3 linked regions of the Drosophila melanogaster genome follow. The protein of the gene in region 1 interacts with the protein of each later gene in a pairwise test. Each region holds a gene or a part of one and is shown on either strand. Other genes may lie near its edges.

Region 1 (10,373 bases):
GGCAGGCGTTTGACAATTTTTTATTATTTGTAAATTTAAATGCGTTTCCTTTGAACACAGCTGTTGCTTTCTATTGTAGATAACCCCGAACCGTCGACAGTTTGTTAATTATTTCAACTCAAACCGAGTGCATTTCCTTAATTTCTCGATGTTTAAATTAAGTTGTTGCCACATTTGTCTGGCCTTCCTTTATTTGGCGTTGAAAGTGCTTCATGTGGCAGCTCATTAATCCTGCGGCTGCTTCTTCTTTCCCTGCCACTTGTGGCACGTGTGTGTGTGTGTGCGGGGGTGTCCTTGTACACGAGCTCTTGTGTCTTCCATATTCTTAATTAGTTGCGCACTTGTAAGCAAATCGCTTAGCTAAGCAATTTGTTAACTGCATGGATACTCCTCTAATTTCTGCCTCGAACCATCCTTAAAGTTCTCTTTCCCTTTCGGTGCTCGCCACTCATAAATTAGATGGCCGAAAAGTTTCGTTTTCCCTTTATTGGTTTATCGCAAACTTTTAATAATCGACAACCTTTTCCAGCATTTCGTGGTATGAGTATTGTTCACCTAAAAGCGCAAAGGGTAAAGTTATATATAAATTATATAAACGAACGAAACACAAAAAAAAATATTTTATAAAATATTTTGCTAAAGGTAATTTTAAAAAATACATTTTTTAGGTACAACTGATATAGTGAAACGTGAGCAATGATTGAACACCCTGTTTGTTTGCCGAAATCCAACCTGTACCAATAAAATTCCCAAGCAGGAAGGCCAAGAGTTTGCTAAGCAAACTTTTCATAGCCCCAAGCATTTCTAAGCGCAGAGGAAACAGCTACTGGCGTCACTTCCGGTGTCCTTCTTTATCCAGCGATATTCCTTCTAACCAAAAAGTAAAGCGCAAAAATTTAATTTAAGCTGATTTTGGATTTACCTCTTGGTTCAGTAAGGGAAAACTCTGGCAGGGATTAAGAGCCGGAAAAGGAGAACTGAAAGTCCATCTGACAGACATGTCCAATGTCCAATTTGTCGCGTGTCCAGCAAAAACCAGCTGAATTTTCACGTATATTTTCGCAATTTGCTTCTTTTTCTATCCGTATTAGAGTTAACAATTTTTTTAATTAAAACTTTTTTGGCTTGGATTAGAATGATGACGCAACTTGTCTTCGACCTTTCGCTTTGCTGAATCGCCGAATTTTTTTATTGGCCAAATATTGGTCATAATTAAGGCGATAAAAAATGACAGTGATAATTATTAGCCTGCCTCTCCAACCATCGACGCAGTACATTCCTTTTTCCTTCGTACAATTAGATGTTTCTATCCCGTTCTGCCGTCTTTTAATTTGCATTTTAATTTATGGGCGCCTATAACTTTTATCGACGTCGTTGTCTTTGCCTTTTTTTTGCTAAGGCCAAAAGGTCAAACAGCTGTGTTGGTCGGACTCTTCGGACGTCATTCCCTTGGCTGTCGTCGAGGGTCAATTAGCAGTTATATCGAATGGAGGATAAGGCAAAAGGTTAAGCCCATCTGACCGGGCACACATGGCTCGAAAAACAAAACTAGACGACCTAAAAAATGTGCAATCGGTGGAAGAAAAAAGTCTTTAAACTGATATTGATTGCGGCCTCTTCACAGCGTTTAGATAAGTCTATAGTCCCTAAATTTCTTAATCACGGAATGATTGATTAAATATTCATTAACTTTGTACACGTTTCCATTTAACATTTCCTTATAAGATTTTGAAATTATTTAATAGGTATTTTAAATTGTTTATATTTTTTATATTTTCTTTTTTGACCTTTAAAAAGTTAGTCGAATTTTGCTGGCATTTGATTACCAGCGTGGTTCAACGATGTGACCCTGAAAGTAAATGACTTTGTTGTCATGAATTACGTAGAAAAACGGATGATCAGCTATAAACTCCATTGGAGGCTGTATTAAATTGTCAATGGACTTCTTTCGGCGAGTAAGAACACCTAAAAGATATTACGTAAATGCTACGAATCCTGGGGGAATTGTTATTACTCACCTGTTGCCGCAGAAGCTTCGCCACCCTTTTCATCGATCTTCAGAAAGGCCTTTTGCACAATTTTATCGATCTTAGCACCAGATTCTAGGACGAGCCCATTTAAGTCAGCTGAGGGCTTAAATACATCTAGAATGCCTAACTGAGGAAAGGTATAAATAAAAGGTATCATTTATATTTAGCAATATACTAACATTTTCAAAAATTCCCTTTAGTTGTGCTTTAGATTCGATTTTGAACTTGGGCAGTTTAACATTTACGGATTTTTTTTCCAAATGATAGTCAATAAAACCAACTTTCTCTTTCAGTTTTCTAAGACCATCAACACTATTGGGCAGAATGATGCGCATAGAAAGAGTTGAGTTCCAGTAGGGTAGTTCGATAATCTTTGCATCAATGTCATCGATGTATCCTGATAGTAGGGATGCAGACAAAGTCATCATCTTCACCGGAATAATTTCGTTAGCTGATACATAGAAGTCGGCTATATGAGTTTGGTCGGCCTTGAAGTTATACAGCCACTGGCCCTTGAAGTAGATTGCATTCACCAGAAACGCACTTGTATCCGAATTAAAGTCCTTAGGTAAAACTATGTTCCGGATCATGCCACGCGTTCGATTTAATATCCAGCTATTGACTATCGCAGACGCACTGACTGGATCGTCTAGACGGATCGACTTGGCTTTGGCCTTGAAGGCCTTTCGTGCCAACTGGTTAAATTCCGGTACAAGGCAATATTTCTTGTTCACATATATCCGGTTTGCCATATGCAGGATAATAAACGTTTCGCGGCGCTTAAGATCGCTTAAAAGGCTACGATAGTTGTTTGCCACAAGTGTTTTGTTCTCAGAAAATTTCAAAACGTTTCTAAGCTCTTCGAACGTTTTTCCACCTGATGCCATATAAACCATGCTCATAATAATCTCAGCAGATATCGGCGAATAAATGAGGTTCCTTTTTGCATTCTGCGATGCTAGAATTCGATAAAAGTCCTCCCAAAACCCGCTCTCTACTGAGGTGGCCAACAAAAGAAGATCTAAGGGAATTAGACTGAATTGTTGCAGAGTAAAATACGATTTCGTTGACCGCTTACACAAGTATTTCATTCTGAGAGCGGCTTCAGACTAAACGCATATTAGCAGACCGTAAGGAAATATAAATATATAAATATAAATATATTATTGATGGTAATTTAATTAAGAACGCCTGAAGACACAGCTCCCCATTAGACATACTTCCGAACTCTATGCGTTGCATTTCACGAATCCGATACTACTGGTTCATCTAATGAACACATGTCAATTAAAGCCGCGGTCTCGTGTCTCATGTCCGTGGAATGAAATATGTTCGCTAGTTTCAGTCTTCAACTCAGTCTGAGACTCCTTCTGCAACTCCAACGTCAGATCCAGCTCAAACGTGCACTGATAAAATTATCAATCATAATCTTTTTTAATTTATAAAATTTGTTTTAAAAAAAGTTTATAATGACAAATCAATTAAGACGTATTAATTTAAATCTTTATCGTCTTTAATGATTCAGTAATTCACTTTTATGGCCTGTTTGAATAAATTTCATTAGTTTTTGAAGTATAGAGAAATAAAGTTTTTGACAACAATTATTAAATTAAAATAGAATACATTTTTTTCCGTGTAGATCGAAGTTTGCGTGCTTCGTGGCTGCCTGTGTTACGTTACGCACATTTTCGCGTATTTGGGTGAGTCGAAGGGGGTGCTGCATATGTTTGTGGCAAATGGGGGGCCGATAAAGAGGGGCATACAAGCGACAGCTTGGACATGTTTGCCTCAAACCCCTCAAAAAACGACGAACCAAAATGCAAGTGTCTCGCCTTACAGTCGCCCCCAACTCTTTCACTAGGTTTTTCTTTGAGCCTGATTTATGTCGTCGAGTGTCGCGGGTGTTGCGTGCCGGCACCCACAGACCCCTTCTTACCCCTTCCTATAGACAGGAAAAAATTATGTTTAATAAATAAATATAAAGTTTAACAAAGAAATATTAAGCTTATTCTTGATCCTAAGCTATACGATTGTATAGAAATATTTCTAAATGTATATGAACATACTAAACTATCTGTATCTATTTAGATTGTTTTCAAAAAATAGTTGTTACTTGAGCAGATTTTTAAGAACACATAGAAAAGCCAAGAGTTTTTTCCAGTGCAGTTATCCGAGACTGCGGGCAGTGCAGTTTTAGTTTTTTTTTCTACTCTGCGGTCAGTTTGCTGTCTTCTTTCGATTGGCACTGAAGCGGAGCATGCGATTTCCGCTTTAATGTAATTTTGACAACGCACACACGATGCTCGAGTGGTCATGGGGGATGGGGGCGGTGCTGGGGGGTTGATGTAGGGGGGCGGTTGCGATTGAGTATCGTCATCAAGGAAATGTCATGATAAATCTTACTCGACTTTCCCGTGGCCGAAACCGTTACAGTAGCAACTGCGAATTCGATTTCGATTTGGGTTTTCGATTTCACTTTAAATTGGTTTTGATACTCTGTAATTAGGAGATCGCGATAGGGGGAAAATTAAACATTAAACACTTATTAAGTCACATGAATTTTTGAAATGCATCAAAAGGCATTAAAACAGATAAGAAGTATTTCGACAAAATAGAAATGCCATTTTCTATTTTGAATGCAGGCAGATGCATTTTACTAAAAAGAGTATCTTGAAGCTACAACGACTTGATTTCTTTTTTATAATTTTCATATTTACAGCTCTCTTATCGAGCGATTTGTTTTGCATGTTCCATTTATCTGATTTGCTGGATATTCCATTACCTGTTAACTCGATTGCAGCGGCATTTAGCAGTTGTGGAACCACTTTTCGACGCCACTGTCTTCATCCCCCCCATCGACTTTAATGCACTTATTCTCCGTCCGTTTTTTGTGCATATTGCGACGCCCTGAAGTCTGTTTCCTTATCACCCTCTTTTCGAGAACCATTAAAGTTCTTGGTGGTGACCCGCAGCAGAATCGTAAACCCAGCTTGACTCATTGATGCATCGATGAGACATTTATATTTTCCAGTTGTCCCCACACTACTTTTTCCTATTCCAAGTGCCATAGAAATGAGGAAAATCTGAGTAAAATCGTCGCTTATTATGCGCAAATCAATTTCCCAGCACCTGAAAATGTCAAACGAAGGTGTAAGAATCAGATAAGAGAAAATCTTGATGGATTGTTTAATTAATTAACCAAAGTCTAAATGGTGATTGATTGGAGCATTGAACTAGACAATGGTTTCTATTCATGGGGCGTGTTAAAGGGGGCGGTGCTGAAAACCCTGAGATATCCGATAGCTGGAAATGGTAAATAAAAATAAATAAAGACGTCTCTATATGTACGGATTACACTTAATTTGTATATCGGCAGCAATAAAATGAAAACGAGCTGACTTAGCGGAATCCCAGCTCGGTCATTTATCACCAGCACAGTAAAACTGAAATACAATCCAAAACTAGTAAAAACGTTTAACTGGCGCTTAAGAATGGAATATACCTTTTATATTTATAAAAGAGTACAATATCCACTTCTTTAGTGGTTTCTAAATTAAACCTAAAAAATGTAAATTTAATTTTTAATAAAACACATTAACCCCAAAAAGGTGAGAATATTTATTATTTATAGTACATTGTTTGAATTAAGTCCTCACATGATTAGTGAGAGGTTTGGTTTTATCTTTTATATGTTAATTGCGCTGTTATGTTACTGTTATTGCATTGTATTGATTCATCGCTTCTAAATAAATAAATATATAAAAAAAAAAACATTGTTTGAACAGATTTTTGATGCTTATATGATCGCTTTAAGTACATATATTCCCAATTAAGATCAGAAGTACCCGGTATGTTTAAAATAATGAAATCGCAAGAAATATAAGTAAATTCAGAAAAAAACACTATGCAATAAAACGTGCGAAGTTATAAAAACAATGGAAATGGAAAGAGAGGGAGAGCAAAAACAAGCGAGGGAGAACGCTCCAGATAATGGAGCTCGGTTCTAAAAAGTCGGTTCTTGGGGCTCTGTTCCGATTCTTTGTTGCGGTCAGTCGGAAAATCGAAGGCGGCGCGACGCGACATCATATCGAAACCCCAACGAAACGCGATTTATGCAACGAACGAATTCTAATTTATGCAAAGAAAAAAAAAATGTAGACATAAATTAATTTTATAACTATAGTCACATTGTGTAATGAGTGAATATAATAAATCTAAGTGTAAGCCCGGAGTAGAAATGATAAGAGTACCAATTCGCAGTGAAAAATATAAATTAAAAATATAATATATTCTACAATCTATATGGAAAGTTATAAACGTATATATTTCAATTAACTTAATAAATTCATTATAATAAAACAAACTAATAAAAAACACATGCAATTACTAGAGTACATAGTACATATTCTGTTAGTACATATTCTCAAGAGTAACCTTTCAAAATTTAGTAGATTTAGGCGATAAAAATGAGTTCCTACAGGACATTGGTGGATCATGGCCATCCGATTATAGTGGGAAGCAGTGAAATATCGCTGGCCCCGAGTTCGGCAGCCAGTTCGCCCAAGCCCCTACACCGGATGATCAAGTACTGGCGCAACAGTTCCGGAAAAATTCCGGGTCTCCGCAAAAGCGAGAGTTTCGCCGAGTATCGTCGCCATTCATCCAACTCGGCCACAATTTCGGGAGGATCAGGGGGCAGATCGAGCACTTCGAGTGCCAGGCAATTGCAATACCAGCGACTGGAGATGGAAAGCTGCGAGAATATAGATATGCTGACAGAACCACTAAGGTAAGTGCACTTAATGATAAAAACTAGTTTTTTTTTTCAATTTATTCATTAATAAATTACTCATTTTTATGAGTGCCAAGATATTAATGTGGTTAATCGTTTAGAATCAGAGCATCAGGTGGTCAAGAATTTAAAATTTGTTTGTGCCTAGCATTTGAAAGGTTTTAAAATGATTTTACCCATTTATTACCTACACATCGTAAACAAATCAATTTTATTTCTTTCTCTTGTAAATCACTTCCATGGAGACCGAGATAAATGTTGAATGACCAAATATATGCATGCATTCCATACCTGTTTATATAGAAACTACCAAAGAAGTGGCATCCATTGTCTTGCGGTTCACTTTGATGTGTAACCCCAAAAATGTGGGGCATGCAACAGTTGGTTATCTGTTTTCGGGTTTTCGAAACGCCCCTCGCAGCTGCGGTTTATCGTGTGGTTATCAGCTGTTCGTTATCAGCCGCCAACGAAAACATCGGCAAGCATGTGGATGATAAAAACGAGGGAACAAGTGCAACACGCCGACGTCATTTTGTGGATTGTGGAAACAGTTCGCGGGAGAACTGCATTTTTTGCATTTACAAATACAAGTCGAAAGTTTGTGAACACTTTTCAAAGTGATTCTTTTTCCACAAATTGTTAGATTTGGTGTACAAGACAAAAAACAATGTTTAGTCAACAAAAGTTGACGGAAAATTCTTTTTTATAACTACTATAACATACATACATACATATTCAATTTCGTATTCTGTAATACTTATTCGGGTTGACATCAGAAATCCAGAAAAATGGTATATCCAAATTGTGAAAATACTTTCTCTCGAAAAAGGCTCATGAAAGAACGTGTTCTGGAATAACACCACTTTCCAAGGGGGCGAACGCCGACTGTTTTTGGCTCGTGCCTCTGTTTACTTGTGTATTGGTGTCCCACGCCGGTTCCGGTTATTCGGTTTGTTTTGGTTATCTCTCGGTGGAGGGAAATCATTGCCTTCTGCATACTTTTGGGGTACACTGTGCAAATAATTAACTGGCAACTGCATTGCCGGCTTCTTTGAATTGCATTGTTTTCCAAACTGTTTACTTTGGCTAATGCGGGCAGCTCCGCTCTCCCCTGGCAACAACTCTTTCTGTTTGCCTAAACTGCGCGCATTTGGAATGTAAATAAATGTAAATAAACAAGAATTTCGCCCCCATAAAGGCAACAAAAGCAGTGAGAGCAGAACAACAACAAACTCGCTCTCTCGCCTTAACAAAAATGCAACGTGCACGTACAGTTAAGGTCGCAGCAATAGCACGGATTTTTATAAAATTATCTGCTCTTTAATATGAATTAATGCATATCTGTATCATCACATGTTTTACATGTTATTTCATATATCATTCCACTCTTCTTTGTCTGCGCTGCATTAAATAATTTTTATCTGTCTAAGCTTCATAATATATGTGTACATAAATAAAATCTCCATAACTGGATCCACAGCCACTATTATTTTGGCCCCCACTGTGGAGTTTGTGGATCGCATTCGCCAGTGGAACCTGAAATCTGAGCTTCGTGCGCAACGATGTTGTTCGTCGCTCGCATTCGTGTTCGTTTGGGGCCAGACCCGCAGCTTTTCTGCTTTGCGACTCAGAGTCGATTTGTGAACCAACTCGTGTGGGCGTCCGAGCCAGCGAGTGTCCGACTAAGTGTGTGCGTGTGCGAGGACGACCGGGCGTGTGTGTGAGCGTTGTCGCGCGTCTGCGTCGCGAAATCCTGATATCGGGAATCGGAACAGGAATCGTAATATATTTCGGGTCTGCGGTCCAGACGCTGATGCGTCTTCTTCATTAGCTGTTCGAAAAGTAACGGTAGAACGCAAAGCAGTTGCAAATCGACAGCAACAGAAGACGGCGAGAAGCGCCACGAATGGAAAAATCAAAACAAACAAGAAAATTGTTAAAAAAGAAGAGCAAACAACAAACGAATACTCGAATATGTGAAAGTGCTAGGTAATCAACCAAAAAAATTATAAAATTAATATAACCAATTAAGGCAATGATGATTTGTGGTTTTGAATTCTTGAAAAAAGTGAACAAAAACAAATCATGCTAAGCATAACACGCAAACTTTCTTCAACAATTAATTTGCAATTGATCCCACTGAGGCGGTTTCCTAAACAGCCTAAACAAAAGAAAGAAAACGAAAGCAATAAATAGACAAACAATAAGCAAAATGTTTGACGAACTTTTAATTGAACGTGTGTGCTTGAATAACAACAAATTGAAATCGCATTTGTTGGCCTTATCAAAAAATTAGAAGCGAAAGTGGCAAAGGTGTCTTAATGGGCAAGACAAATAGAAATCAAAATAAGTTTGCCAAAAAAAAAAAACAGCTGCATAAATACGCGCACGTAGTTAAAAGTGAAATTTTTAAACAAAAATCGTTGGCTGAAATTGAAATGTAACGAGCAAAGAATCCAAAAGCAGAAGCGAAGAAAGTGTTGAAACCAAGTGAAATTGTGTGCGTAATATTTTGTGCAATTCAATTACGAAAATTCCATCCAATAACAAGTGCATGAAATGACGGAATAACATAATCAGCACAGACAAATGTCAAACCACTGAAAAGAAACTACAAATGAGAAATATTTATAAAAAGAAATAACCACAAAAAAGTTCCGTTTTTGTCTCATTCCTCTCCCTCTTTCTTCATCTCGTTTTTGGCGGTTCCCGAGTTTTCTTGCGTTTTGTTTTCTGTGTCTTTGGAGTTCGATTGAAATGCGTCACGCATGATTATTACGTGTATTTTTGGTTTTTATAACCATTTTATCTTCCTGCGATCAGCTTAAAATTGTGTTTCTTTATTTGTTGTGATTTATGTGCAAGTTGTGTGAGGTGATTGCAGATATGTATAAGTTACCTCAACAATTGGATATGGTGATGTGAAATTCGGTTTTTTACAAGGGGGTGAAAACATTTGAAGATCATGAACCCCAACAGGTTTTTTATATTCAATACAAAAACGGAATTGTATATTACTTCCCATAAAGGAATTTTGAATTAATTAAAGATCTTTCCAACGTGGTATCAACTTTTTCTGGTCCTAATGCTTCAATTAATATTTAAATTTATTAGAGTTGTTATGTGAAATTGGAAGTGGAACAATTTCCAACCAACTCCATTGGGAAAAGCGTTTTTTCTCGTCTCCGACTGGCAAAAATGCAAATTAAAATTCACGCATTTTCCACCTCTTTTTGCGCCCTGTTCGCCTGTCCCGTTAAATGACAATGTTGCATCTCCTTCTGCTTCTACTACTCCTCCCATTCTTTGCTACTGTTGTTGTTGTTGTTGGTGTTGTTGTTGTTTTCCTATTAATATGCATAGCCGGCGGTCAAAAAGTAAAAAAATGTATGTATGGTAAATTCGCAGAGCACGTGAATTTCTTTTTGGCTTTTGAAACGGGTTTGGCCTGAAATGATTTCAGTTTGTGTTGCCGTGTTTTCTGCTGTTGACTTTTCATTTTCGTTAAATTTTTTCTCGATTTTTGTCTCGCTGCTGCAGCTTGCAAAAAT
Region 2 (10,373 bases), on another chromosome or scaffold:
TGAGCACTGAAAAATGTGAGCAACTTGGGCAATGCAATTAGTATTCTGTTAAGCAATTCATTTTTAGAAGCATTTCACTAAGTTCATTGAAAATTATGATGAATAATTCAATTTTTGTACGTAATTGGTTATGATAATACATCGTATAAAAATCTATAGAAACTGCGACATCTCTAACACATAACAAAACTCCTATATAACTATTTATTTATTTTATTTGATTAATCTGTCGAACGCTTCTTGTTTTGCAGTGCATGTGCGTTCACATAAGTTGGCCAAGCTGTTGGGCTGCTTGTGGTCGGTTTGCCTTCCAGCCATATTCCCATCCATTCATTCAGTTTGACATGGCAGCTGCCTGGTCAGCCATCCGACGACTCCCTTCTATATAGCACCTCCCTTAGCTCGATTCCTTTCCTTTCCTTACCATGCCATTCAAAGAACTCTTGTTATGCTCGCCCTGCTTGCGGTTTTGTCCATGGCCAAATGCAACAGCGTCTATGGGAACGCGGTGGTGGTTGGGGGTTTGTTGTTCAGCTGAGTGGCAAGACAAAGCTTGAGCCGCAATCGCAGACCCCCACACGGTGGAAAAATATCATGAGCATTCGTAATCAATCAATCAATTACTTCTCCTTGTTTCTAGCTTATTTTTAAGTGCTTATTCTTAAATGTTTAAATTGTACAGCTTATATAATATTTTTATAAGTATTATAACCAATTGTTATAATACATTCTAACTTAGTTAAAGCAAAACAGTATAAATGTACTTTCATTTCATTAATATCCTCTTTTCGTCTGTATAGCCAATGACCATGTCTTGTAGCCGTAGTAGTTGCCGGAGTCGCAATCGGAGTCAGTTGAGTGCCTTTGTTGCGGTTCATTCAGTTGTATATGTGGCTCGGCTCGGCCGAAAGTCCTTACCGTGGCTTGTTGCTTGGCTTATAGCTCTTGGCCTGCTCCTGGGCCCTCTGATGCACTGTTGCCGTCGCCTCATCGGGGCTGTCGCATTCTTCAATGTCTCCTTTTAGTAGCGTCATGGGCTTCATACTTTGTATTGAAAAGTTTTCGCGCGCGACTGACAGCAGCTGAATGGGAAGTCTGCCTTTCTTTCCGCACATATATAGATATATATGTACATTCCTCGTCTTGGGAAACTTTGGCTTGCAGCGGATATCCCAATGCTCCACTTGATTCAACTTCAAGTGCTATATAATCGCAATTAAGTCAGTACTTCCAATTGAATAAGTACTTCGAAACGTAATCGATTGCCTGCCCAACATAATTGTTACTACAATTATACAAGATATAAACCTCCATTTTTAAGTCTTAAACGTTTGGAATATCTTTTTCAAATTTAGTTTGTTGGGTAAACTATTACTTTCGCCGTCCACTGCAGTCAATGTGTTTCTTTCCCTCTTTTTGGCTTGATTGTGTATATGTGTCTGTGTGTGTGCATTGTCCTCGTTGCCATTGTTTAATGGTCACATTAAAAATGCCTCATTGTTGGCTCTGTTGTCGTTGTCAACTTCTGACCGCGCCCTTTGCACAATATTTTCCACTGCATTTCGCCATTTCGCCCACCACCCAATGTTCGCCACCCCGGCCATTTTGCCATTTTCCTGCAATTTTCTTTTTCTTTCGGCCACGGCGCAGAAAAGTATGCAATACAAAATGCATGCCGGCGGCATTGGACTTTTTAGTGGCTTGCATTGCACTTTCTGTTTACTCGTACTTTGCAATGGTGTGTGCATGTGCGGGAGTGTGTGTGTGTCTGTGCATGAGTGGGTGTTTGCACGTGAGTACATTAGCTGGAAATTTAAGGTGGGCACGTGTGTGTGCATGCTGCTGCACAGTGGGCATTTACAGCAAACAAAACATCCTTTGTGGGCATCGACTTTTCGTGGATTCTGCCACCGCTGCCGCAGTACCAGAGTCCTTCATGTGAGCACAATGCCGAACGGCAACAAGGTGCTGCAGCCTGCACTTTTGCACCACCCGCACCTTGTCCCACCCGCTCTCTGGGGCATTGAAAGAGCTCATTATGGCAGGTACCTTTTTACCCAGTGATGCTGGAATCTAATCCAAAACGAGGGCAAGATGTCTACAAAAAAGTTACTAAAACGTTCAACGCCTTTAAGAAATATGCAATCCAATAGTGTTTATTCACAGAATTCTATAATTACAGAAACCAAATATATAAAATTAAACAAAGAAAATTGTAAAAGAATCTGGTATAGCTATTAAAAATTTTCAAAATGTGTATTTACGGTTCCAAATAATATAATAATATAAAATGGATACCAATATATTTAAATAATGTCTGAAATACCATTTTATGTTATCAAGACTTCCTGCCAGCACAGTCCCTAAGCACTCTCATGCACTTTGATTGGTGGCCGAAAGTGGGAGGCACAAAGGAGTCGTATTGGCAACAGAAAGGAAGCTTATTTTAGTTGTTAACTGATGTGGGCGTGCCACTGTTGGCTCCTCTAATAGTTTGTTGTTTGCCAGCTTGGGTCTGTTGGGCAAAATTAGATAATTGAAATTGAAACTGGATAGAATGATGCTTCAGATCGAAGCTACGTAAGTCAGCTTAAAAGTTTACCTCTGCGGGGCATGAGAAAATTACTTTGAAATTGCCATTGGGAAAAAATTCCCATTTAGCGGAGTAAAGATAATCCGCAGCTACTTTCATCTGATGATTCAATTGTGTGGCAATTCACAAAGCTGGCGAAATAATTAAACAGAAATATGGCTGAAAATCCATAAATCAGGCAGCCAGCCGGAAATGGCATTAAAATAATACATTAACTTCACCAAAACGTTGCGTCGCCCACACAAAAATGTGATTAATTTAAAAGAATGCGAGGGCGTACGGCGAAGGAAACTCACGAAGTTATTAACGGAGAGTCCTCGCCCCCAACCAATACAATTTACGAGTAATAGCATTGTAATAAAAACAAATTTCCACAAACGTTTGGCCTAATTGTACGATAGAAAAAATGAAAGCATTACCCCAGCCAATCTCTACCACCCGCCAATAGAATTTATTTCTGCGGTTTAGTGGGAGTGTACTATTCGCGGGGACTGTTGCTCGTGCGACCAGCGTGACACAGAAAATTTCACAGCACTGCCAAAAGCAGCGAAAATAACCCACAAATTGTTTTGGCCAAGTAGTTGCATGTGAGTGGCGCATAACCAGCCCCCTCGAGGACCCCTCTATCGAGGGGTATGGCACCTTCTCTATGAGAAAGGTGCTGCTGCTGGATCCGTGAGGTTGACGTTGACGTTGCTGACTAAGGCGACGACAAAACACACGAACATAAACCCCAAGCACACACAACGACGACAATATAAACACGATAAGCAAAAAACTGCGACTTCCCCTCGGGGAACGTGCCCCAAGTCAGAATTTGAAAGCGAAGTGGTGGTGGTTAATGGCGGTGTTGGGACGGGGGAAGTCAGGTACTGTGGTGCAGTGTTTGGGAATTTCGAAAATATAAATATAAAGTTTCAATTACGTACCATTAATCCAGCTGCCATATCCAGTCAAGCGATTATAAAAGTTAATCGTTGGGAAAAATGTTTTTGCAAGCCTCGGATATGGCTATAAGCATATATATGCTTGCTTATTAAATTATATTTTACTACAATTGTCATTAAATAATCATAGAAAATGTTGGGAAACTCTCTTTAATGTAAATAAAACAGGGCTTAGATAATTTGTATTATTTTCTAGAAAGTGTTTGTGCCTTTCCTTTGACCATCTTCTAAACCAAATATGTATTATATCATTTAGAAAATAGCCATCCAGCTTATTAAAGTCAAAAAAATCTAACCACAGTGCCATGAAGCCTTTGAGCCACAGGGGGTAAAAGGACCTGCTTTAGCTAAAGCTACGGTGTTATGGTAAGCGTTTCCCTACCCTGCAGCTCTCCCCTGGAAATCAGTTTAAAGGCCGAAGCTCCGCCGCGGGCAAAGACACAATCCCACAATCAATCGGTCAAAGCCAGGAATCTACTGGATCCCATGCGAACATAATAATTGGAGAGGATAAGGAATCTCCTGGCGACGCCACTGGTCGACAGGTAATAGTGCAATGAGAAAGGTGAAAAAGCCAAACAGCTAAGAGAACACAGCAAATGGCCCACTGGATTTTCCTTTGCACTGGTATGAGTGCATGTCTGTGTGAGTGTGTGAGTGTGTGTGTTTGTGTGCGAGTGCTTGTGGTTTTCCTAAGCAGGGCACAATTAGTGGTGGAGCAGCGGGCGGGAAGCGGTGGGCAGTTAGCCCCATAAGTCAGTCACTCACACAGGCGAACGTGTAATTCGATTCGCGATTCGAGGAAAGGAGGTAGAAAGAGAAAGGCACTCTCTAAGAAAATTGGCTGCGTCGCCAAGGAAATTTAGAGTGGACAAAAGGCAGCAGTAGCAGCAGAAGGTAAAGCTGCGGGAAAACCAGCAGAACAGCCAGCAGGCAGCGCCGCTCGAAACACACTTCAAAAACACTTTGACCGGCAAAGTTGCCACACGGAATTTCTTCTTGTGCATCGGTAAATGCCAGAAAGTAAGCAAAACTTTCGCACTTTTGTTTTGGCCAACTTTCTTGCCAGCGCGAGAGATGTTTTAATAAACTCGCCTTCGAGTTCATTAAATTTGATTCAAGTAAATGGGTTTGTGCTATCCGATAAGTGAGTGTTTTTCCCGTTTTTCCCCGAAAAACCGATCCAAAAGTGGAGACAATTGCGGCTGATTGATAGGCAATTAGTGGAAGTGGATGCTGCTGATGTTGCAAGTGGAGAGGCACAACTGTTTGTGCATAAATAACCCAAAGCAACAACTGCCGGCCCAAGTGTCATTAACCTAATTGCCGCAAAAGAAGCCACCGCGCCACTTTTACCCCAACCGAAAAAATATACGGCCATAAATACGACGACCAAAAGGAAGAAGCAACGTGCAACGTGTTGCAATAAAAACAAATTTGCATAAAACAGGTAAATCCAAACCCAAGCCCGCCGCCACCCCACAAATAAAAAGGTGAAACCATAAAAAAAATCAAGTAAAAGGGCTCACCAGTGAAAATTCCAGCTCCCTTGGCCCACAAATATTTATTTTTTGTTGCAATTGTAAAATACACGAAATTCCAATGCAGTGAAAAGGACTTGGATCCCGGTTTGTGTGGAAGTGTGTGTGAATGGTTGTAGGTGAACTGTGTGTGAGTGTGAGTGCAGAGTGGTCAAAGACACAAGAGACCAATGCCACTTAAGCCAGGAGTCGTCGGCTTGTTCCCTGCCGTCTGCAATTTTTCGGTGCTTAACACTCGATGCACTGGGGAAAAATCAGGAAAAACAGCCAGAATGATTTTCCTTAAATCTAAAATCCTGTTTCTGGGGTATTCAGATGTTAAATATAACAAATTTGCAAAGTGATATTGCGGGTCCTTTTGTGCGAGTTTTTAGTTAGATATTAGTAATAATATATAGAATATATATATAAAGATACAACTAGAATTGTTTATGCATTTATTTTGGACACAATATAGTTCTTGAACCTAAACCCAAAATGGTTTAGAATTTTTTCATACGACTTCGAGTGTACCCTCATCGATGTGTGAGGTAGCCAAATGCAAGGCAAGGCAAGGCAGGGCAAATAATACGCGATATTTTCGGCCTCTCCAGCGGGAGAGGAGAGGAGTGGAGCCGCCTGAACTGTGAACCCTGAACCCAGAACCCAGAACCCTGTCCCTCGACCCCGCAGAAGTGTGAATGTTTGTAGTGCCCACGCCGAATGGTTGAGTGGGGCTCTTTGGTCTGTTTGCTGGGACAAAGGCAGTGGCAAGTGCTCGCCGGACAGCCCATTGAATCCTTTGGAGTCCTGTGAAGTGGGGGAGTCGAGCAGCAGGCAGGCTGAGAGGGCGGAACTCTGGAGAGCCCTGGGCAATGGGAGCATTGGACACATTGCATCGAGAGTTCGTGGCATATCGATTACGTAGAGGGTGAGGATATAGTTAACAGTTGATATTTCTAAGTGCAAGGCTTGAGTGGAACAAGGACCAGGACATATGTATGCTGTGTTTGAGGATTATGAATGAAGACATTACATGGGAATATATATTCGATAATTACAATCTATTGACATGTTAAAGGCTATCAGAGAACTGTGAAGATTTGGCATTGTTTCTCCACAGTTGGTACATGATAAACAATTTTGAATCACGAATATTATAACTGATAGATTCCTTAACAGAATTTACTTCCAACCTTTTATAGACCTCTTATATTAGGAGAGTGACGTTCGATGTTCGAACCGATGTTTTATAAAAAAATGTTTTTTTTTGGTTCCAAAAATATTATTTAAAATGACTTAAATTAAATCCTTAATCAAATTTCTAATCAAACATTTTCCACTTTAGCCAGGCCAGCAACGTAGTTCTTTGCTGGGCAACCAGCGACTGCGTGCTCGAAGAAAACCTCCAAGAAGTTGCCCCCCTTTTGGGAGCTCCAAGTTTTCCTTTGCGTCGACGCGACGCTGCCCTTAGCGATTCCGTTTGACCACAACAAACCGAGCACGCAAGTTGAGCCAATTCCTTAAGAGAAAGCTGACGTGACTGCTTTAGGAGCAGGACAAGCAACAGTACCAACACCAGGACAATGTCCAACGAAGAGAACGACGACTATATGGCCAGCTTGAGTCAGGCCCAGACCGGCGAGGATGAGGTCGATGGCGGTGGAGAGGCAGCTGGCAGTAACGACTCCGTTCTGGGCGGCCAAACAATGCCACAAATTAGTCCGAACGCACCGCTCGAGGGAAACGTTTCGCCGCCACCGACGCAGCCCCATTTGGATGATAATCTGCACAACGGGAACGGGAACGGGAACGGCATCCACAGCAGCAGCAGCAACATTAACAAGCACGGCAGCAACATCAACGGCAACAACGATAGCAACCGCAGCAGTCCTGCGAAGAGTCCCAAGCGCCCAGTGTCCTCCAGCTTCCGGATTCAGAACACCAGCCGGTACGATAATGATGAGGAGGACTTAGCAGCCAGCGAGCAGGTGGCTGGTGGAGATCGCCAGGTGCCGGATTATTGGCAGCAACGGAACGGTGCGACCACTGGTGCAACCAGTGGGCGGCAGAGTCGCGCCATTAGTCCCGGGTATCTGGACAACATGAGCGAGAACTCGGAGCAGCCGCCAGTGGTGCCGCTGGTGCGATCTAAATCCCGTCCAGAAATTTCAAGTGCAGCGGCATCGCGATATAATAATCTCTCCTATTGGAAGGCACGCCGTGTGGTGTTCTACCGGAATGGGGATCCATTCTTTCCGGGTGTGGAGCTGCGCTATCGTCCCGGACGGGATGTAACCTCACTGGACAATCTTCTCGATAAGATCTCGCCCAAGATGGACTTGCCACGGGGTGCTCGATATGTGTTCTCCATGGACGGAGATCGAAAATATCATCTCGATGAACTGGAGGATGGAGCCTTCTATGTCGTATCCTCGTTCAAGGCCTTCAAGGTTAGTACCAGATTATTTGCATGCATTTCTGCTTTCAGCTCAGCTAAGTTTTTCATTATTTTGAAGTTTAAGTGAGAGTTTTCACGTCAGGCGCAAAATCAATATAAATTTGAATATTTTGGTATAATTTTAGTTAGTGTGCCGGTTGTGTGTGTAAGTGTGCATAACATACATAAAACTATATACGAGGTTTTGGCGTTTTTTTGCGGTCAGCGCTGTGGAGTGAGAAAACTTGGTCACTTGGCCTAAAAATCAAAGGCGTCGCTTTCCTTTCGGCTTCTTTGTTTTGCTCCCTCTTCTTCGGAAAAGCGGGTCCTTGCGGGGGAAATGGGTGAAGTGAGCGGGTGGGTGGTTAGTTGTTCGGTGGGGCCACATTTTTGCATGCAAGCACTTTCGTTTTCTCTCGCTCTCATTCACATACACATTCGCATTCACTCACTCTCGCTGTTGTGGGAGTCTAGCCCTAGAAACAATGCCAACAATTAGCACGCCTTTTGGCCTGCCACGAGGGCAAGTTGGGAATTAGGTCTTAGCCTTTATGGTCGACTGAGAGTGGGCTAACTTGAGAGTTGGGACGGCTAAGAGAACAGTGGTTCTTAAGAGTAGCTCAGTTGAGCAAAAAAGGATAAGGACATTAACTCTTTAGGCCGAAATGGTCAGCTGGCAGTTTATCGATAAGTTCCATCAATATACTGAAAGCGGTGGATGGAATCGAATTAAAAGTAACAGATTTAACGATAACTTTTCATCCAAAAGTTCGAGGGAGAAAATTATTTCTTTTATTTACATAGTACATTAATTTCTTGATTCTATAAAACAAGTTAATTATATTAATGTAAAAAGACTTAAGTATAAGAAACAAGGGGATAAAGTCATAAAAACATTGTATGAAATTCGAAAAACCATTTCGTCACCCAAGGACATTTTTTTAGGCAACCCATTTGAAGGGTTGACTTTCGCATAAATTTCAATCAGATACTCGCCAAACAGTTGGCTTAAAAGTCTTCTCTTTTTACATCTGGCCGAGGCAGTTGGCCAAAAACAAAAAAAAATCCACACAAATCGCAGACATCATGCGGGTGCAGCAATCAAGCGTCCGCACATCCAACATGTTCCGGAACAACTATTGAAAAAGTTTCCACCTTCCGTTTGACAAACGTTGTGGGTGGCTGATGATGATAAGGCTGAGTGGGAGTGGCTTTGGGAGTTGGGGTGTTTTTGTGGGATTGGCTGGAGAGGCTGCGGCAAACCATAATCGCTAACGACCAAGTCAAAAGCCATCCCCGACTATGCGTCTAATGCAGTCGAAGCGTGAGCCAAAGTCAGGATGTGCCAGTGCCCAAGACAAAGAAAAAAGGCAGCCATTCCATCCCGCCAGGATACCCAAGACCCCACACCCGCCATCCACCAGGTTGGGGCTTCTCCTCCGGGCTCCACTACGGGACACCAAGTACCGACTGCGACTCCGGCCTCAACTTCAGCTGCAACTCGCTACGGCAAAGGCAATTGCGCCTGGCCCGCGGCTAGCAAACAAAAGCGCAGCATGGAGCATGCAGAGTGCACTTGCGAAAATACTTCAACCAAGGATATTTTTTTTTTCGGTCAAGATTGACAGAACTCATACATATATATTCGGATTTTTTGTTCTTGGTAGAACATGAGAGAAGTGTCGAAATATTTGAATTTTTTGTTTTTTCTTTTCCTCAAAGATCTTCGGCAACAGTTTAATCTTATTCTGAGCGTTTAATAAAATAGTGTCATTTCATTTTTTAACTACTGCGCTTGAAATATTGTATTTAAAGTACTGAGTATGTAACCTGATTTTGCAACATTAAAAAACTTTTGAAAAAATCACCGACATAAAATGATTGAACTGAGAGTTTGCGGTTTTCACCAAAAAATATGGTCAATAAAAACCCAAGGCCAAAATAAACCGCAATTCGCGGTTTTGTTCAATTTATTTCTGAAAATTGACTATTTATGAAGAATAACTATAACTTGATGTAGCTGTGGTCAAGAATGGTATACATTTAAAGTGAAAATATAAAAAAAATTCCATTATTGCTAATTTAAAATTTGAATGCGATTGGTAAAGAAACTTTAACCGTTAAGCCGAAAAAATTGTGTCAAAATCATAGAGTTATTTTGGCCGTAAAGTACAAAGGTTTAGTAAGTTAGCCAAAAATGTATTTGTGATGAATGGCTCAGTTAAGTATTTATCCAGTATGTATCCAAAATCTCAGAATTTTCAGAAAATTTTATCCGGGAATTGAAAATGTACTTGTTCCTGATACTAATTTTGGTGTGCAGAACAGGAATCTTCGATGAAAGATGTTTAGCCCTACAAATTCCCAATGAAATAAGAAAAGTACCCATTTTTTCTCTATGTATAGGGCTTCGCTCCATTCGCTGCACCGCCTGAAATCAAAACTTATGATGAGCCAGCGGCGCTCTCTTCGGCAACCAAAGGGGATCCGTTGTGTGGGGTCGTGGGCTCCAGCTCCACGCCGTGGCACAAAAGGCCACAAAGAACAATGGAGCTGCGGGCACATATATACTCATCAGATGGGAAAATGCATAGAAAATCAGCCGGCACTTCGGGCGCTCTCACGCGAAAAAGGCCAATTTGAAAACTTGTGGCGTTTCACTTAGGGAAATTAAAAATGTATGCAAAGTACTACGCCGAACGGGAGGGGCCAAGAAATCGGGCCAGAGCAGGCGCAAAGTGCATTTTGGCCTGGCTAATAATATAAATTCATTTTGCGGCCGAGCCGAGCGGACGAAAACTGTTTACAAAATCATTTATGATAATTTATTCAACCGGGCATGCGTGACGACACTCACGCCGACACGCGAAATT
Region 3 (10,373 bases), on another chromosome or scaffold:
CTTGGCATTGAGTGGGAACAGATAATATTAATTGGTATGAATACAATCTATGTATAATAGAACAAAAGTGCCTAACTCACAAGTGCCAATGCTTGACCATGCGGTTCTCAAGTGGCATCTACTGCCGGAGGATTTCAGAGATCGAAAGCGGAGCTGGCTGATGGAACTCTGGTTCTTTGCACCCACTTCCCCGAACATCAGGAACATATAAGTGTGCCAGAGCCCCAAGGAAAGAGCAGCAGCGTAACCGCTCGAAGATACAAAGTATATATGGATGCCTCGGATACGTGTTGTGTGTAGTGTGTATCTGGGCAGCTATAATTATATACGTATCATCGTTTTGGGTGTGGGATGTGCCAGCGAGAACGGCAACTTGTAGTCCATTTGGAGCTACATATAACTGCGCCATAATTGGCTTACGTATCATCCACATCGTCGTCATCACCATCATTGCCATCACCAGAGTCGCGGTAGCGGATAATTAGGTTTTAGCTACTGCGACCCGTATCGGATCGAACACGCCCGGTTGGCCAACCCCACCCGACCGTGGATCCAAATCCCGCGTGGTCACCAGCTGCTCCAACTGTCCGACTCCACCGCTGCTCTGGTGATGATGATGTAACTTGGAAGTGCAGTTGGAGTTGTAGTTGGAGTCGAGTGACTTCCTTCCTCCAGTGCGGTAACCCACTCACTGCACACATACATATATCATTCGTATATCATATGTACATATATATACATACATATGTACACATGCTTAGACCTAAGATTTCTAATTTCCAAACTTTCACATAAACTTCGATTGGCGGCTGGGCTTTTCTTTTTTACCTGAAATCGAGCTGAACATTTTGAAACTGTTGCGGTTTTCTCGGCCGTTGGAGTCGAAGAACTAATTTTCGGGTTTGTAAGTTTGTTTGATCCGGATGGAATTCGAATTTTTGTTCAGATTTATTTGCGTTTGCGGCCAGCGGGCTAGGTATTTTTGGTGGAGCGCGTTTATTTTTAAACGTCCGACTGCGTCGAGAGCACAGAAACGTATAAACTCGTGTGGAGTCGTAGTCACAGTACGTTCAACGTAACGTTCAATGATCTAAATTACGTTTACGTTTCACACAAACTAAAAACTAAGAGAAGAGCGCCACTCGTAAGAAATATAGTCCACAAGTGTCTAAAAATTTACAGTTGGCAATGCCTTTGGTGGATGTAAAGTGGTTGCACTCTTATCGGCTAGGTGGCGCTCTATTTCGAGAGCGATAGTCGGGGTACTACAACCGAACCACTGGTTAGACATATACGGTGCTGCCAACTTTTGTCAAGAAAAAAATCAGTTAGATTTGAAATTTTGCAAAAAAAAAAAATGGGGAATTAATATATAAATTATAATTTAGCAAAAAATTGTGGTACCTGCTTAGGTTAAGGTATATCAAATAATATGGAAAGGTAATTTACCACAAACCCTAATTGTTTGCACCATGGTATAATGGCATTAGTGAGCTATACCAAAACGAGCAACTTTCGAAATCCATCAGTACTGGTGAATACAACAAACCGAAAGAAATGAGTCAAATACTACGCATGCTTTACTGTCTTCCCATTTGGCTGCTGCTGCTTTTGCGTGCTGATGAGGCAAACGGTAAGGGCATATGCCTGTATTTCAGTGAAAAAACAGTGAGTAGACTTAACTTAAGTCATTGAGATTGGAAATTTCAAAATTACAATACCATAGGCTTCTTGGTTTAGTGCCCTGACCATCTGCAAAAGCCTCCACATGTGCTTGGCTGATCTAAACACCGAAGTTACCCTATTCCAGATGAAAAGCAAAATAAACCAAGACGACCACGAGTACTGGTTTGGATTGAATGCACACGATAAGCCCACCTACAGATACGTTTCGAACAACAAGTCCATTGAGTACTCGCCGCACAATTCAAAGCTGGTGAACAACGAAGGATGCGTCTATGTTAAACAGCAAAACGACTTTTTCAAATTTGAATCGGCAAAGTGTCGCGAACACCGGAGATTCATCTGTACTAAAACCGATGAATGCGATGGTGTTAGCATGAAACATGGAAACTCAAAATGCGTCATAACCGCAGAGGAAAGAGATCTTGTAGCCTACTAACTTATAGTTTACTGCAGACAAATAAATGGTTTTTGGGACAGCATGAGCATAATACATTTTAATGAGTTTCAGTGTTCAGTGCGAGTATCCTGAGTATTTTATTTATTGAATAGCACCACCTTGCATCTAGTCTGTGGAAGCCTTTCGCTTTGCCACCGATTTAAGTTGAGCTGCATGAGCCCTGCACTTAGTTTTGTAGGCCTGAACCAGCCGCCCACCAGGTGAAATGGCAATTGACACATGAATCTGAAGGAAATTATTCAATAAGTATAGTTGCATCAAATTATTTCTATTTTTAATTACCTCCAGGTATTGCAACTCTTTTTCGTATGGTAAAGACTCCTCCAAGAGCCTTAGGATTGTCTGAAACTTTTCCGTGCCCAATATGTACGTCATTTCACCAATGTTCTGCTTGTACCACTTCGCATAGTTGTCTAGATTAGCACGAACATCCATGGTTGAGGCACAAGCAGCCCTTGCAGTCAGCAGCAAATGAAGCAAGGATCCCAGGGAAGCCGTGGATGCAGTTTGCAGAAGTCTATTTTTCAGATACTCTGCAAAGGAAAAGATCACTTTTCCTAAAAAGCAATTATACTACAGAAATCAATATACTTTTAATGTATGCGGTGGTTTCAGGATTGGCTGCGCTTGCGATAGTTTGCACAAGTATTAGATAGAACTTCCACTGATTAAAGTTTTCCGTGTTTGACTGTTTGAATAGATATTGAAGGGCTGCCTGCTGATGGCTAGCAAACATCTGCAAGTAGAATTCAATTAGGACAAGATACATAGCTCGTTTTAAGAGAACATAACCTTATCGCAAAGGTGCTTTACAAAGGTTAGTTCGTCGACGCCCTCATTTATCCAGGCGCTAAAGCTGGCGAATGCCTCGTCTACATTCTCCGATCGGTGAAGATCCAACAGGGTACTTAAATGCATGTTCATGCAAACATTTAGCGCTTCATCTGAATGGGTAATAATTTAGTTACTTGCATATCATGCAGTGCAGTAAAAAACAAACCTGGCAGGGTTTTGCACAAGAACTCCACATATGCCAAGCTGCATATCTTGGGATTGCCAACGAGGCCGGAATAGAGATTCCCCAAAGCGCTTGTCAGTATCAAGGTTAGCTTCAACGCAGATTCAGCATCTGACGGTGTATAAATCAGTAGAAATGGGGAAATAGCTAGAATCAAGATCAAGAGAAACCAACCGTAAGCCGCTGAAAAGAAAACATTTGCGAGAAGTTCGAACTCAGATTCCAGGAATATGATCAGGTCCACCTGCAGTTGATCGGAGTCCTCCTTGCTGTGAATTCAGTTACGGATAAATGGGGGTCCGTACATCTAGCAGCTTCTTTATGAAACCCACCTAAAGATGTACTGCGTGGCCGTCAGGATGCGAAGTTCCTGTAGCTGTCGGAGAACTCGAAAACTGCCGACATTCGCTGGCAGTTGGCAGAAGAACTTGGAGGCCAGAAACTGCACAGAATAGGTGTGATTACGAATATCTCTTCTTCAATCTACTCACCTTTTCTGTGCCATTCAGAATCTTCAGTAGCTCGGCAAATTCGTATTTTTCAAGAGCTCCCAATTGTTGAATTCCGCATTGCTTTTCTATAATCTGCGTAAAAGACTGGCAATTAAAATGAACTCATTTAATGTGTAGGATGAATTGCTTACTCTGCATACGAAGCCAAAGCTATTGCCGATATTGGTAAATCCTCTATTTTCCTGCACATATTCCATTATAAAAACCTCCAATTATAAAAACATTCAAAATGAACAAGTATTGTTTTTGTTGACCCGCGTGTAGTGTTACCTCAGCTATTGTGGCTGAAAATACCACACCGCTTTGAGAGGAATCGGTTATTTATAGCACGCTTATCGATTTCATTTACAGCCGTTACAATTATTTAAGTCCATTTACATTTTTCAAAATCATTTTTAAGCCATTCGTCACTCATTTATTAAAAAACCTTCCTAATAATATTTAGCTTGGAGGTCCCATACACCTATTTCGAGTAATTGTCTATTTAACACAATAATCCTTGCGCTGCTGTCGTATGACAGCGTTGAGCTTCAGACACTGCTGCCTGAGGGCATCGTTGTCGCCCTTCAGGATCTCAATGGTCTCCTCCTGCCGCTGAATGGTCTGGTGGACGCGCTTCTGAAGCTGATCCATCTCCTGCTTGTGGCGCTCGTTTAGCACTCCCAGCTCGCTCTGGATGTCCGCGTTAAGGTTGTCGCGCAGTCTGTCCCGCTCCATGATGATGTCGCCGCACATCTTTTTGCTGTGGCTCAGCTCCAACTGCAGCTGTTTCACCTCCGCCTGGCTGTTCCGCACCTGGGCGTCCGCCTCCGCCAGCTTGCCGCGAGTCTCGGCATACTTTTCCCGCAACGACTTCTCGACGCTCTCGGCCAGAACTAAATCCTTCTCGTACTTCTCCTTGAGGCGACTGAAAATATTGGGCTTAGGAGGGGGGCTCATATTATTTGGCCTGCATGTACTCACTTCATCTTTAGCTCGTGCTCCTCTTTGTGCTGCAGTGCGTCGGCCTCCATCCGCACCACCAGTTCGTCTAGCTGACGATCTCTCTCCGCCCGGTAGTGTTGCCTTATGGCGTTCTCCTTCTCCGCCTGGGCCAACTTGGTCTTGTTTTCGTGCTCCGTCTTCCACAGCTCAAAGTCAGCCTGGTACTGCTGCTCGATGGTGTTGACACGGTTCTGATACTTCTCCTCCTGCTTGGCCATGCGCTCCTGCATTTCAAACTTTGCCTGCTCCAGCTCTTGCTCCTGTTCCCGCAAAGCCTCTTGTCTTCGGGCTTGGTGCTCATTCTCCCGCTGCCGTAGTTCTGACTGCAGGCGATCACGCTCTGCGGCAAACTCCTCGGTCAGTTTCTGGCGCTGCTCCGCCTGTGTCCTCTGCTCCTCCTCCAGTTGGCGCTCGAATCGCTCCCGGATGGCAGTGCGCTCCTTCTCGATAATGGCCTCACGATCTTGGGCGCAGCTCTCGCGAATGCTAGTCTCGATCTGCTCGTGCTTCGTGCGTGCCTCTTCCAAGGCGTCCAGCAACTGCATCTGGTGGGTGCGCTTCAGCTCGGTCACCTCGCGTTGGTGGTCGCAGTTCATTTTGTTGATCTCCGCCTCCAGGCCCTTAACAGTAAGTTCCTTTAAAATGAAGTAAATTGGTGATTATTAATATAATGCTATGTAAAAAACTACTAATATTCTGGACCCTATCATAAGTAATAGTTTTGACTAAACTAAGATACTAATTACTGATCCAATGATGGAATATTCCTAAGCCATTCTTTATATGTGCAACTTTAAAGGATAACAAGAATCGAGATCCTTAAAGCTAACCTATACCTTAATTTTCTTGGTGTTCTCGCGCACCCATCGCTCTCGCCGGATCTTTTCGCCCGCCATGGTGGTCTCCTTGGTCCTAGCCAGCTCAGTTTCCAAGCGGTGCTCCCATGCCTGGTTCTGGCTCTCCAAGCGACGCGTGAGGGCCGCCACCTTCTCGCAGAGGGAGCCCTTGTCCTTGAGCAGCTGCTCGATGAATCCCTGGTGGCGGGTAACCACTTCCTCATAGTGCTTCTTCTGATCACGCAGCTTGGCCGCGGCGGTGGATTTTTCGGCCCGCAGGCTCTTCTGCTTTTCGCCACGCAGCTGGAAGACGTGCTCCTTGGACATATGGATGGCATTGGCCAACTCGTTGGCCCGCAAGCTCAGGGCAATGACCCTTCTGGCAAGCTGATGGTTGGGCAGCATCAGCAACTCGGATAGCCTGAATTAAAGGGTAAGGATAGTAAGTGAAGAACTTCAAGGGAATCCATGACTCTTCACCCACTTGGGCACCTCATCGGTGACATCGGGCTCCACCACGAACTCCACCTCCGATCGATTGCTATCCGGTATGGAACGACGTGTTTCCATCAACGTCTTGTCGCAACTACTCTCCACATTGTTCAGGTAGGCCAGGATGTCCCTGTTAGGATACCATAGTATATAACTGGATGGATACCAATGTGGTAATTTGTATTTACTTACTTGTACTTATCTCCACTTTCGGGAACTTTACCTTCACTCACAGTCACTGTGTCGGCCGTCTCACAGCGGGAATCTAGGTTTAGGTTCAGTTCGCTGGGGATTCCCTCGGAGAAGTTGTCTGTCAAGGAAATCAAATATGAGGAACGTTCCCTTCTAGATCCAAACCAGTAACTAACCCCTTTTCTTGTCCTCTTCGATCTCTTTGATGACAGATACTATTTCATCATATGTCGAGTCCCTGGAGTCCTCATTCGACTTTAGGGACAACTGGGAGGCGGTATCATTGTCCTGTGCCTCGTCCAGGTCCTCCAGTCCTGGCTTGTGCTTGCCATCGTATTGCTTCTGGTCCTGCATGCTCATCCAGCTGTCCACCTTGTCGAGATTGTACTCTGAGAGTTTCCGCTCCTCTCGTAGGCTGCCCACACTGATGGCCTTCTTCATCTTACCCAGCGGAGCTGGATTGATTGTGGACTTAGTCACCTTGGATTTGCTGCTCCTGGCAATTGGATCGGCACTGGCGGGCTTTACGTTCTCCTTTTTCTTGCCCACAAACGGTGGTGTCGAGGCCACCTTTAGATAGTTATTAATGACGCCATCGGAGCTGCCATTCGCAAAGGATCTCCTATCATCCTGCACTGCTGGCAAAAAGTTATTCTCTGCCCCGAAGTTTCTTGGGTTGCCAACGGGTCTGTAGACGACGGAACCGTTGTTAACAGCGGAACTATTGGTCGCCATGTTCTTGGTCTCGGACAGATTGTTCTGTTTCTCCTTAGTGGGAGAAGCGTACTTGTCCAGATAGTTGGGTAGTATCTCAATGTTGTTCAGGGTGTCAGTTCCCAAGTGGTTCTTGACCACTTGAACGCCTTCCACAGCCTGTTTATACTCCCTTATAACATCTAGCTCCGATGACGGAGCCTTTGGGAGAGTGGGTGTGGGACTAGTTGGTTCCACTTGCTTGGAGGACTCCATAAACCGGCAGCTTGGAGCATCACAGGCACACTTAACGTCCGATGCCGATGCCTCATTGGTGCTTGTGGTGGAAGAGGATCGCGTGCTGCATGTACAGTTCTCCGAAGGGCACTTTGGATACTCGTAGGTCTCCGCCAGAACTTCTCCCTCGGCTGCAGTGGATCCAAAATGCACGGACTTCTTCTGCCCAACGGGATCGGCTTGTTCCACTTTGCTCAGGAAACTGGGAAGAGTTAGAGGACCCGGAGCGGAGATGCTGGGACGCACTTCCTGCTTGTCATTGTCGCAGTCACTGGAGTCCAAGTCCGCGTGCATATTCGGCTTGCTGAAGGACACCCTTCCCGGAAGATCTGGCTTGGCGGTGCGCTGAAGAAGAGCCCCGTTACTGAGGCCCTGATTTCCAGAGTACGAGGAGTAGGATTTTACCTTCTCACCAACTGGCATGTTGACCAGGAACTGCTCCCCCTCCTCGCTGCTGTCGGGAGTGCGTTTGTGTAGCGAGTAGTCGGACTCGGAGGAGTTGCAGGTGCTGCGGCAGAGCCAACTGCGCTTGATGGGCTCCTCCAGCAGGGATTTCAGCAAGTCGTTCGACGAGACTTGTCTCTAAAAAGGTAATATTACAACACCGATGACCGCAGGGTGTTAAACCCACTCACCTTGCCGCCGTTGCGCAGCTCCTTCTCAACAAAGTAGTTGCTCAACCGACGACCGAACTTGGGGTCCGCCGACTGAGGTCGTCCCAGGAAAGGCGAGGAGCGACTGCGCTGCTGCAGGAAGTTGGCCGAGCGTGGCCGGAAATGGGGACACGGATTGTGGAGCGTCGTCAGCGAACGACTGGTGTACTTGGGCTTCGTTTTCTGTCGTGTGGCGAGGTTTATCTGCGGTTGACCACTCTTAGTACCTAATCCAAAAGGGGGTAGACCATGTCGCTCTGAGCTTACCTGAGAGCCCTTAAGACATAAATCCATAATAGCTTAGAATTAAGCACTCATTTAGATAGTTTTCGAACTGAATGCCCTGCCATAGCCTACTGGTTTTCGAAACGGACTAACTCCAGTTTGTTTTGGCCAACGTGAAAAACCGCCACCACTTTCATATCGATTAAACGCATGTGCTAGCCACGAGGGTCAGGAGCAGGCCAGATGTTGGTCAGCACTGCAACCCCCGGAAAAAACAGGCGGGTCGAAGTTGACATGGTTACCTTAGTGGTGAACCACCTGAGCTACCTGAACCACCTGACCCACCCTCGATCGCCGGAACAGGTGTCGCGTCCTCTGCATGATTCACCACTCCGTTCCCAATCCACACCTCTCCACTCCACTTCATCCGACTCCACTCGTTTATTATTTTATTATTATTCGTGTCTCCCAATCAATCACCGACTATGGCACACGGGCAAACCAGCGGAATCAAAACAATTAATCACGGAGAACAACTGATTGCGACTGGAGCATATCGATGCGAAGGTCACCGCACGGGGTTCAATGCTAGACATCGGCAAACACTTTCGGTTTTCATTCACCACGTCTAGAAACTCACTGACTGAGCTCGTGGTCTTAGCATTTTCGGGGGTGCTATCTGTGCCGACTTATGGGAGCATTACTCTGACTAATTGTAAACATATCTTAGATTCCAGCAAAGAACATAGTAATTCCCCATGAATCAAAGGCTGACTTCGGCGGGCAAAGCCCTGGAGATCTAGAGATCTAGATTTCCATATAGCGATACGCAACTCAATGCGCCATTTAAGACACTTCGAGTTCTAAGACAACATTCCCCCATGGGACAATTCGTTCGCCTGGGGCAAACAAATATAGTGTTATCTTTGTGGAACAAGTTAAGGTACTCTACGTGACAGTAAATACACACACTTGTGGTGGAGCACCCTTATCGAAGACCATCCAGTGACCGCGAGAGGAATATTCCAGCCGAAAGACGCGCGGTTTCAATATTAATTAATAATTTATTTAAATAAAGCAAATGGTGTCTATTGCAATACACGTAGTTTGGTCTAGCTAGTCCCGAAATGACGCTTTGGGGACCGGGCCTCCATGGGTGGCTCTATGGGGGATTAGGCTCTCCAGCTCCAGCTCCAACTCCGACTCCGACTCCATTCTCGATACTGACTGATGCGCGAAGCATAAAATTAAATTTGGCAACATTTCTCGTAATCAACTTAGCAGCTAACACAAAATACAACACAATATAGTTGATGGTTTCTTGTTTAACAAACAAATTGCACTACTTCTCATCTTGATCCGCCGATCTTCTATTCCGCCCGCAGTACGGGCGTCACCTGGACCTCGTTCTGATCATCGCTCTGGATGTCGAACTTCAGCTTGGTCAGCTCCTTGAGCTCGCCATTCGATTCGGCGGGCACCTCGCTGACCACCTTCACGGTATCCGGATACTTGTTCTCCCCGCTGCCCAATTCCTGCGAGAAGCTGACCACGGTCTTGGGTTCGTAGTTCACTCCCAGGGCGCCACTGGGATCCGGAGTGGGTATGCTGGGTCCATCGCTACTCTGTCCGTTGGTGTGCGAAATGGTAATGGCATCCGCCTCCTCCTTATGACCATTGGTGGCAGGAGCAGCCTCCTCTTCCTTAAGGCCATTGGTGGCAGGAACAGCCTTCTCCTCCTCCTTCTGGCCATTTTGCACGGGAGCAGCTGGCTCCACCACCTCCACCTTGGCTTCCACGGCTGCGGGAGCTTGAGTGGGCTCCTCTACCACGGCCTCCGCCTTTCGTTCGGCTGCCACTGGCTCTGGAGTAGGTTCTGGAACTGGCTCAGGGGTGGCTTCCACCTCCGCCTCATCCTCTCCTGCCACTGCCTGGTTAACTTGCTCAATGGCCTTGGCCACTTCTTCGGGTCCTACGTCAGAGTTCTTTGGCTCCTCACTGTGTCCATTGCTTACAGGGTCCTCTGGTTCGGGTTTAGTGATCAGGGCAGAGGTGGTTACAGCGGCCACCTGAGGCTGTACCTCCACCTTCTCCTCCTCCTCCACCTTCTCGGCCACGGGAGCGGGAATCTCGAGGGCGGGCACAATGGCCGGACTGGCCATGGTCTCCACGAACGAGGTGCGATTGGGCGAGTCCGGCGAGATCATAACGTGCGTGAAGTAGCCGCTGCGCCGGCTCTCAAAGTCCAGCACGTTCTCCTTGGCCAGACGCTCCTGGATGAGTCGCTGGCGCCTGATGAACTCCGGCACGTTCTCGTCCTCGCCCTCG

The links.
Region 2: the proteins of RapGAP1 (region 1) and DCX-EMAP interact in a two-hybrid assay, tested with the Drosophila melanogaster proteins (one large-scale study listed by BioGRID).
Region 3: the proteins of RapGAP1 (region 1) and CG30001 interact in a two-hybrid assay, tested with the Drosophila melanogaster proteins (one large-scale study listed by BioGRID).

What each region holds. Positions count from the first base shown.
Region 1 is NT_033779.5:7,574,683-7,585,055, reverse strand, and holds the start of RapGAP1 (Rap GTPase activating protein 1), read left to right. Parts: upstream 1-6,075; 5' UTR 6,076-6,496; coding exon 6,497-6,819; intron 6,820-8,448; exon of another isoform or gene 8,449-8,811; intron 8,812-9,042; exon of another isoform or gene 9,043-9,322; intron 9,323-10,373. Other genes in the region: Spn28B (serpin 28B), read right to left, coding at 1,823-1,965, 2,019-2,157, 2,210-3,051, 3,109-3,121.
Region 2 is NT_037436.4:14,897,468-14,907,840, forward strand, and holds the start of DCX-EMAP (Doublecortin-domain-containing echinoderm-microtubule-associated protein), read left to right. Parts: upstream 1-6,337; 5' UTR 6,338-6,769; coding exon 6,770-7,513; intron 7,514-10,373.
Region 3 is NT_033778.4:9,819,012-9,829,384, forward strand, and holds CG30001 (uncharacterized protein), read right to left. Parts: upstream 3,945-10,373; 5' UTR 3,871-3,944; coding exon 3,805-3,870; intron 3,746-3,804; coding exon 3,653-3,745; intron 3,604-3,652; coding exon 3,494-3,603; intron 3,431-3,493; coding exon 3,336-3,430; intron 3,273-3,335; coding exon 3,144-3,272; intron 3,088-3,143; coding exon 2,936-3,087; intron 2,880-2,935; coding exon 2,735-2,879; intron 2,677-2,734; coding exon 2,426-2,676; intron 2,369-2,425; coding exon 2,249-2,368; 3' UTR 2,157-2,248; downstream 1-2,156. Other genes in the region: CG34033 (uncharacterized protein), read left to right, coding at 1,558-1,668, 1,727-2,122; dila (dilatory), read right to left, coding at 4,154-4,580, 4,637-5,292, 5,494-5,914, 5,978-6,115, 6,178-6,295, 6,354-7,749, 7,803-8,114; hebe, read right to left, coding at 9,416-10,373.